Cricetulus griseus: one gene and its partner. The protein of the gene in region 1 interacts with the protein of each later gene in a biochemical or structural test. Links are inferred from orthologs where the notes say so. Each region holds a gene or a part of one and is shown on either strand. Other genes may lie near its edges.

The links.
Region 2: the proteins of Nfya (region 1) and Zhx1 form a complex in vitro, tested with the Homo sapiens proteins (2 studies listed by BioGRID). The link is inferred for Cricetulus griseus from reciprocal best matches to the Homo sapiens genes NFYA and ZHX1.

Annotation. Positions count from the first base shown.
Region 1 is NW_023276806.1:254,894,662-254,898,467, forward strand, and holds part of Nfya (nuclear transcription factor Y subunit alpha), read left to right. Parts: intron 1-2,193; exon of another isoform or gene 2,194-2,334; intron 2,335-3,061; coding exon 3,062-3,208; intron 3,209-3,806. UniProt on the Homo sapiens protein: Component of the sequence-specific heterotrimeric transcription factor (NF-Y) which specifically recognizes a 5'-CCAAT-3' box motif found in the promoters of its target genes.
Region 2 is NC_048603.1:29,563,510-29,567,757, forward strand, and holds the start of Zhx1 (zinc fingers and homeoboxes protein 1), read left to right. Parts: upstream 1-1,145; 5' UTR 1,146-1,464; intron 1,465-4,248. UniProt on the Homo sapiens protein: Acts as a transcriptional repressor. Increases DNMT3B-mediated repressive transcriptional activity when DNMT3B is tethered to DNA. May link molecule between DNMT3B and other co-repressor proteins.

The DNA of each region.
Region 1 (3,806 bases):
TCCTTTAAAAAAAAGGGGGGGCTGGAGAAATGGCTCAGCGGTTAAGAGCACTGGCTGTTCTTCCAGAGGACCCGGGTTCAATTCCCAGCACCCACATGGCAGCTCATAACTGTCTATAACTCCAGTTCCAGGAGATCTAACACCTTCACATCAATGCACATAAAATAAATTTAAATAAACTAGTTTAAAAAAAAAAAGCTGGAAGCTGGAGTTAACCTAAGCTGTCTTCACTGTCGTGTATGGTCAATTTAAATATCCTAAGTTCCCTCAAAAAACAAGAGTAGCAACTTTGGTCTTTTCTGGGTCCATTGAGAACTAAAGGTCTTGAGAAATTGGCGAGATTCAGATGTCTTCCTCCACTGAATTGGAATGACTTAGTGGGACTGCCAAGTTCAAACTAGCATCTCACTTTACAGGGAGTGCTGCTGAGATCCTCTGGAAAGTAACTACCCCTTCCTGTAAGACAGTGGTTCTCAACTTCCTAATGCTGTCAACTTTATACAGTTCCTCATACTGTTGTTATCCCAACCATAAAATTATTTCATTGTTAATTCATAACTGTAATTCTGCTGTTAGGAATCGTAATATAAATATCTGTGTTTTCCGATGGTCTTAAGCAACCCCTGTGAAAGTCTCATTTGACTCTTTCATAGGGGTCATGACCCCTTCAACCTGCTCTAACCCTGCCACTTAGTAGTGTTTGGTGATGACATGTGGCCATACACATAAATTAAGATACAAGAAGTTGATTTTGTTTGTCTTCCTACACAGTTGGAATCTCAGGGAGTGCAGCAGCTTTCTGTTCCTGCTTGCTTCATCTTTTAATACATGAGATGGGTGTCTGGGATTGTCATTAACCATCATAGAATGGGAATGTAACATGCTCTTAACTGTGTGGCTTCTGTCTCATGCATGAGTCCTTATCGTCTGTTGTAGACACAGTGAGCTCTTCAGAGTCTCACATCCTTTATCGCATATATATATATATATATATATATATATATATATATATATATATATATATTGTTAGTATGTGTGTGGGGGGGTGATGGATAATCAGAAAACTATTGCCTTAAATTTGTCAGCTCTGGGAACTGTTTGCAATGACCTAAGTTTGGGTCCATAGACCCACACAAATATGTGGGTTTGCCCCTGTAGTCCCAGCACTAGGGGCAGAAACAGGCAGAACCTGGGGCTGGTGGAGCCCTGGAGACTGTCTCACAGCAACAATGTAGTGAGCAGTAGGAGATGACATCCAGTGTCAGCTTCTAGCCTCCACTTTGACACAGGGGAACTGTACACCCTTACAACACACAGTAACAACACAGCTGTGTTAGCTTAAATAGGTCTAGATTGCATTTAAAAAAAAAAATTGAAGTGATGGGAATTTTCCTCTATAAGTCTCATCATTTTAGGAGAATTTTAAATAGTTCTTTCCTCCTGTAGTAAGGCTTCTGATAAGTTTCCTAACACAGCATACAAAAGCATTGGTGTAGCAAAGGGGATTTAAATGGAGAATTAGGAAGAGAGAATGTAAGAATATAAGCCATGAATTCTTTCAAAGTCACGAGTTTCTCGGGACAGCCCTGAGGTTGGGCTACTCCTGGTGGTTCTCATGGAGAGTGGTAGCAGAGAGCCTCACCATCTTCCTTATCTAGGACAAATTCATCAGTCTCACAGTTGATTGGTACTTTTGGAGTAGACTGCTGCTGGAACTAAGAACTAAGAATGAGTATTTTGTTCTTTTCTGTTACAAATAGTTCTTTCAAGCAAAGACAGTCTTAAGGGAGAGTTTGGGTTTGTCCTGTTACTCATCCACACTTCCAAAGCAGTTCTGTCTGGACCTCTGAAAGGCATTCTCCCTGAGTTTTCACATTGGGGTTCAAGAGCTGACAGCATGTGTGCCTCTACCTTTCTAGAGTGAAGACTTGAAGATTGGAAATCATTTACACACAGTAGCTGTCTGATTTCAGTGTTTCATTGCTTTTGATAATTAAAATAACTATGCAAAGATTTAAGATGCAGTACACAGAACTCTACTGTGATGATCACTGACTGGAAAGTATTTCTGGAGAGTCTTGCTTTGACTTGATTTTTTTTTATTTATTTAATTTATTGGCTTGATTTTTGAGACAGGGTCTTATCAGGCTTATCTGGAGCTCACTGTGTAACCCATCTGTCCTCAAACCTCAGCTTTCAGAGTGCTGGGATTACTGGCCTGCCCAGTCCGTGAGTCTTTAGTGGTAGAAGCAGCAGCCATTCCTGGACTCCTCGGAATGAAGTGGAGGTGAATGTTCATGGTTCCCTTTGCGTGAGGCCCAGGAGAACCTTCAAGTGAGCTTTCAGAGCTTATCCTATTAAGCCTCTGGAGTTGGGGCTGCACTTTGATTCATTTCTCACTCCCACCACATTACCTCTCCCTCATTACTGCTTTTCCAGCCTTTAGCGAAACTGAGAATTCAAACAGTTTTGATAACTTGACTGTTTTCTTGGATTCAGCTTGTTTTGGTGATAAATGCCTTATCTATTGAGATTTTCCAGATTCTAGATAATTTCCATTATTTTTGAATATCTATCTTGGCACTTAAAAAAATATCAGATATCTGAAGAGCATAAGACTTACATTCTTGGAGCTGCAGAGATGACTCAGTGGTTAAGAACACATACTGCTACTACAAAGGGTCGGAGTTTAGTTCCTAGCACCCATGTGGCAGCTCTTAATCACCTGGAACTCGAGTTCCCAGGGGTCTGACATCCCACCTTCTGCAGCATATGCACACAACCTACACACACACACACAGTGGGGGGGGGGCATGTAAAAAGACTTTTTAATCTCTGCTCTTGGGAGGTAGAGGCAAGAGGATCTCTGAGTTCAAGACCAGCTAGCACTGCATAGAATAGAATGACCCTGTCTAGGGGGAGGGGAGAGGACTGACTTTCCTAAGTCTGTCTTGTCTCCCCTCTTGCTAAGTAGGAGGACAGTTCCAGTGACCAGTGAATGTCTTAGTGAAGCCACTTGTGTCTTACACTGTTTCATTGTTGGTGTTTTATTTCATTCTAGGTCCAGGGACAGCCATTAATGGTACAAGTCAGTGGAGGCCAGCTAATTACATCAACTGGCCAACCCATCATGGTCCAGGCTGTGCCAGGTGGACAAGGCCAAACTATTATGCAGGTACCTGTGTCTGGAACACAAGGCTTACAGCAGGTAAGTAGTATTTTTAAGTATTTAGATTGTACATCAGCAAAGTTTGGTATGATTTTGAGTTAAGTAGTACTCAAAGGTCCTTAAGAAAACTTAGGCAGTGTTTAGCCTAACCAAAAGATCCAAGGATGTCTCTAAGACTTGGGGCCATGTCCTGATTCCCTCTACCAGGAGTCAGTCAACCGGAGAGCTTCGGGAACTTGAGGCTCTAGGCATGTCCTTTACAAACTCAGTGGGTAGAAGGTAGCTTGGAGAATCCCCCCAAGCTGAAAGTAACCTCCTAGCTGATAGATCAGCAAAGCAAGGCTTGAGAGGGTCAAGGAAGAGTGACAGACCATTACAAAGCTGGTGAGAAGGGACATGGAGATCTACAGGTGGGCCAGGGATAATGACTTTGTTTATGTGGCTGGGCTTCCTGGGTTTTTTAGGTTGGGGGTATTCTTGAGTATAAAGTACTAGAAATTTTGCATTGTAGGGCCTTCCTAAATGCTTTCTCATTGGATCTTAAGAGGTTTGTATTCAGTGGTAAAGGAAATAGGTTCCTGCACATTGAGCAAAGTGGTAAAACTTTTTTCCCTTTCGTCAGTTGTTACAAGATTTC
Region 2 (4,248 bases), on another chromosome or scaffold:
AGGCTGCAGATTTTAGCAGTGGGTAGTGCGGCTTGGTGGAGGAACCCTGCTACCAAAGCACAGAGGGTCTCTGATTGGGATGGGGGTGCGTCCGGGGCCGTGAGCACCCTCGGGGTGAGTGCTTGCTTCTCGCCTTCGTTTGCACCATCCTTTTAACCGTGGGAGGGGAGAGGCGGTGGGGAAGGCGCTGAGGACCTCAGCTGGGGCCCACGAGAGCTCAGCGTCCCTGCGTGGCTCGCAGGGGGACGCTCAACTTTTCCCCATCCGTCCATCCGGAGAGAGCTGGAGCCGCGGCGGCCGCTGCCCGGCTGGGCTCGGCTGGGCTCGGCTCGGCTCGGGCCGGCTCGGGCCGGGAGGGGCGGAGCCGCCGCTGGCAGGCGCGCGGGACTGTTGACAGCCGGAGGGGGCGTGGCTGGAGCCGGGAGGGCCGCCGGAGGCGGGGCTGAGAGGGGAGGGACGGGAGGTGGGCGTGGCGTGGATGTGGGGGCGGGACCTTGGAGTCACGGTCCAGGGAGGGGGGCGGGGCCTTCGAGTCCCGGGGTCCAGGGAGGCGGGGCCTCCGTGGAAGAAGAAAGTGACTAGAGGCCGCCGGAGGCGGGGCTGAGAGGGGAGGACGGGAGGTGGGCGTGGCGTGGCTGGGGGGCGGGACCTCGGAGTCAGGGTCCAGGGAGGGCGGGGCCTCCGTGGAAGAAGAAAGTGACTAGAGGTCGCGGTGGGAGGCGGGAGGCGGGGCTGAGAAGGAAGGGACGGTGATGTGGGCGTGGCGTGGCGGTGGGAGCGGGGCCTCGGAGTCACGGTCCAGAGAGGGGGCGGGGCCTCGGAGTCAGGGTCCAGGGAGGGCGGGGCCTCCGTGGAAGAAGAACGTGACTAGAGGTCGCGGTGGGAGGCGGGAGCCGGCTCCGCGCCGCGGCGGCGGTGGGCGGAGCAATGGGCCTGAGAGGGGCGGGGCCTCGCGCCGCCGGAAGGCGGGGCTTCCCTGACGGGGCGGGCTTGGGCGGACAGAGGCGTGGCTCCTCCTGACAGGGGGCGGGGCTCCGCTGACAGGGGCGGGGCGGGCGGGGCGGCGCGCGCCTCCCGCAGCGCGGGGACCCTGGGGGGGAGCGGCCTGGGTCTCGTCCCGGCGGAGCGGAGCGGAGCGCGGCGCGGCGGAGCGGAGGAGTCCTCGCGTGGGGCGCCGGCTCGCCCCGCCTCGCCTGGCTCCTCCTCGCGGCCCCGGAAGGCTCGGGGGTGGGGGGTGGGGGGACGAGGGCGTCCCCTCGCACCCTGGCTCCGCGTGTCGCTGCTGCCGGGCCGCGGGGCTCCGTGGGCCCCCCGCGTGAGGGCCGTCCGAGTGGTTCCGGGGTTAGGGTTCACGGGTCAGAGTTGACTCCCTGAAAAGTGCAGTCGCTCTCAAATGCAAGATGGCGGCGGCGGCGGCGGCGGTGGCGGCGGCGGCGAGGCGCTGAGGCGCGGCGGCCCCTGCAGGTAGCTGCGGCGAGCGGGCGAGCGGCGGGCGAGCGGCGCGAGCCGAGCTCCCCGGAGCTCGTGGCGGAGGGGACAGCCCCGGGGCAGACGTCCCCCCGCACCTCACCCCTCCCCCTCCCCTCCCCTCCCCTCCCCTCCATCCCCTCCCCTCCGCTCCCCCGGGACCCAGCCCACGGCGTCCGTGCGAGCCGCGTGGGACCCGGAGGCACCCGGCGGGCCTGCCCCGCGCACTCGCGCCTCCCGGGAGCTGTCGGGGATGGCAGGGCGAGCGCGGGGCGCGGGAGAGCGCTGAGTGAGTTGGGGCGCTGAGGGACGGTGGCAGCCCGTGCCCGGGGAGGACCCCCCTGACTGCGCCTGGGGACCTGAGGGAGGCGGCGAGCGCTGGCCGCCCCGGGCGTGGGGCCACCTGGCGGGGACGCAGAAGAGTCCGCGAGGGTCTCCGCGTGGGCTGGAGCCCCGGGGAGCCTCGGCCGGCAGGGGGGACGCGGAGTTGCACCCCTGAGTGAGGAAGACCAGGGTTGTCAGGGAGAAGTTAATGGAAGAGGGGGGGACACACTGTCTTCTGTGGAGCCATGGCTGGGGAGAGAGCGTGCTGGCCCTGGGGAGTCTCCATGCCTGGGTGTCAGGGAGAAGTTAATAAAAGAGGGGGGACACACTGCTGAGGAGACAGCGTGCTGGCCCAGGGGAGTCTCCATGCCTGGGTGTCGGGGAGAAGTTAATAAAAGAGGGGGGGACACACTGTCTCTCCGTGGAGCCATGGCTGGGGAGAGAGCGTGCTGGCCCAGGGGGGTCTCCATGCCTGGGTGTCAGGGAGAAGTTAATGGAAGAGGGGGACACACTGTCTCTCTGTGGAGCCATGGCTGGGGAGAGAGCGTGCTGGCCCAGGGGAGTCTCCATGCCTGGGTGTCAGGGAGAAGTTAATAAAAGAGAGGGGGACACACTGCCTTCTGTGGAGCCATGGCTGGGGAGAGAGCGTGCTGGCCCAGGGGAGTCTCCATGCCTGGGTGTCGGGGAGAAGTTAATGGAAGAGGGGGACACACTGTCTCTCTGTGGAGCCATGGCTGGGGAGAGAGCGTGCTGGCCCAGGGGAGTCTCTATGCCTGGGGCTCAAAGGGAACGACCTGCTGATTCCTTGACTCGGGTGAATGGCTACAAAGAGGGAATGAAAGAATTGGGGTCTGACAGGCAGGAAAGCCCAGCCCTGACACCGAAGTTGCAAGAGAAGGGACTTGGGATTCTTTGTCCAAGGGGACCAGCAAGGAACGAGCACGACCGACGAAAGGGACTCTGTTTGCTGTCCTTAGTGCAGGGGGACCAAGCCCCTGGGGAAACTGAATGGCTAGAGTAGAATGCCAAGGCACTTTTCTGCCGCCAGCCCTTGTTTAAGAGACAAAACCCAAACCACACCGTGAAGGGACACTGTATAGGAGAAACTTGTAAGAAAGGCTGGCTGAGAATTTGTGACATGACTAGGTGGGAGTCTGTGTAACTGGCAGAAGCAGTGCTCTCAGAGGTTAACAGGATAGCAATTGAAAATCCATAAGAACCCCTCCCTCTACCCCCAGGAGGAGTGAGGGGTGTGTGTGTGTGTGTGTGTGTGTTTGTGTGTTTGTGTGTGTGTGTGTGTGTGTGTGTGTGTGTGTGTGTGTGTTGCAGAGTGATATAAGTGCACCTTTTTGTTTGAGGTGTTGGTCACTGTATCTCTGTCTCTGTCTGAAAGAAAGCTGTGATTTGTGTGCAGTAGTAACTAATGCCCTGAAAAAGTCAGTATTTTAAACTAAACTGAAAGTTTGTTCCAATAGAGCTATTGGCACATAGATTATTTCAGTTTCTAAAGAAGCGATTCTGACTCCAGATTTAGTGAGGAAAGGTTAAGTGCTGCCAATAACACAAGTTTGGTAACAGGGCATATAAGGAAAAAGACGTGGTGTGTGTGTGTGTGTGTGTGTGTGTGTGTGTGTGTGTGTATGTGTTACAGTATTTCATTTATCAGTGATTTTTTTGTACAGTTACCTTTGATATTTGACTGCTTAGATTAAAATGAGGGGGGAAAAAAACCACGCTAGTGACTTGGGTAACTTAGACAGTTATAATTCATACAGATGTCCCGAGCTGTGCTTGTATTCTTAACAGAGCTTACTGTTTTCGTTGGAAATGTTTTGAGGATACAGGTCAAGTATAACTAGCTGTATAACTTGGAACACTTGTCTAAGTATGTGCTGTTCCTTGGTTTCCCCACAATGCACACGGCTCTGGTGTTCTACCCAGTTCTGAACAGATTAGTCTGGCAAAGCAGAGAGGCGCAGATGCCAGATGGTTTGAAAATATGCTAAGGCCGAAAACACAAATGTGTCTGCGCGGAAGATGCTCATCGGTGGTTTCGCTCCCTCACCGCCAAGCTTGCTTTACACTGGGCTGGACGGTAGGACGTGCAGGACGCCACCCTGGTCCCACCTTTCACCAGTCTTCTCTGTGCTGAAAAGCAGCAGAGCTTGGCTTTTTACTAAAATAGTTCATCGCGCAGGTGTGGAGCTTGTTCTGAAGTTTTCTGTTTTGTTTACTCCACATTCAGATGGAAAGCTGACGTGATGAAGTGTTTTCTTTTTATTGTCATGCATGCTTTAAAAATTACTGTCCTTGCCTTTGGGTGTTCTGCCTGCTTGTGCAGTGCACCATGGTGTGCAGTGCCCTTGGAGGCCAGAACAGAGTGTGGGGTCTGCTGGAATGGGTTACAGACAGATGTGAACCACCGTGTAGGGCCCAGGGACCCTTCGGGAAGTAGCC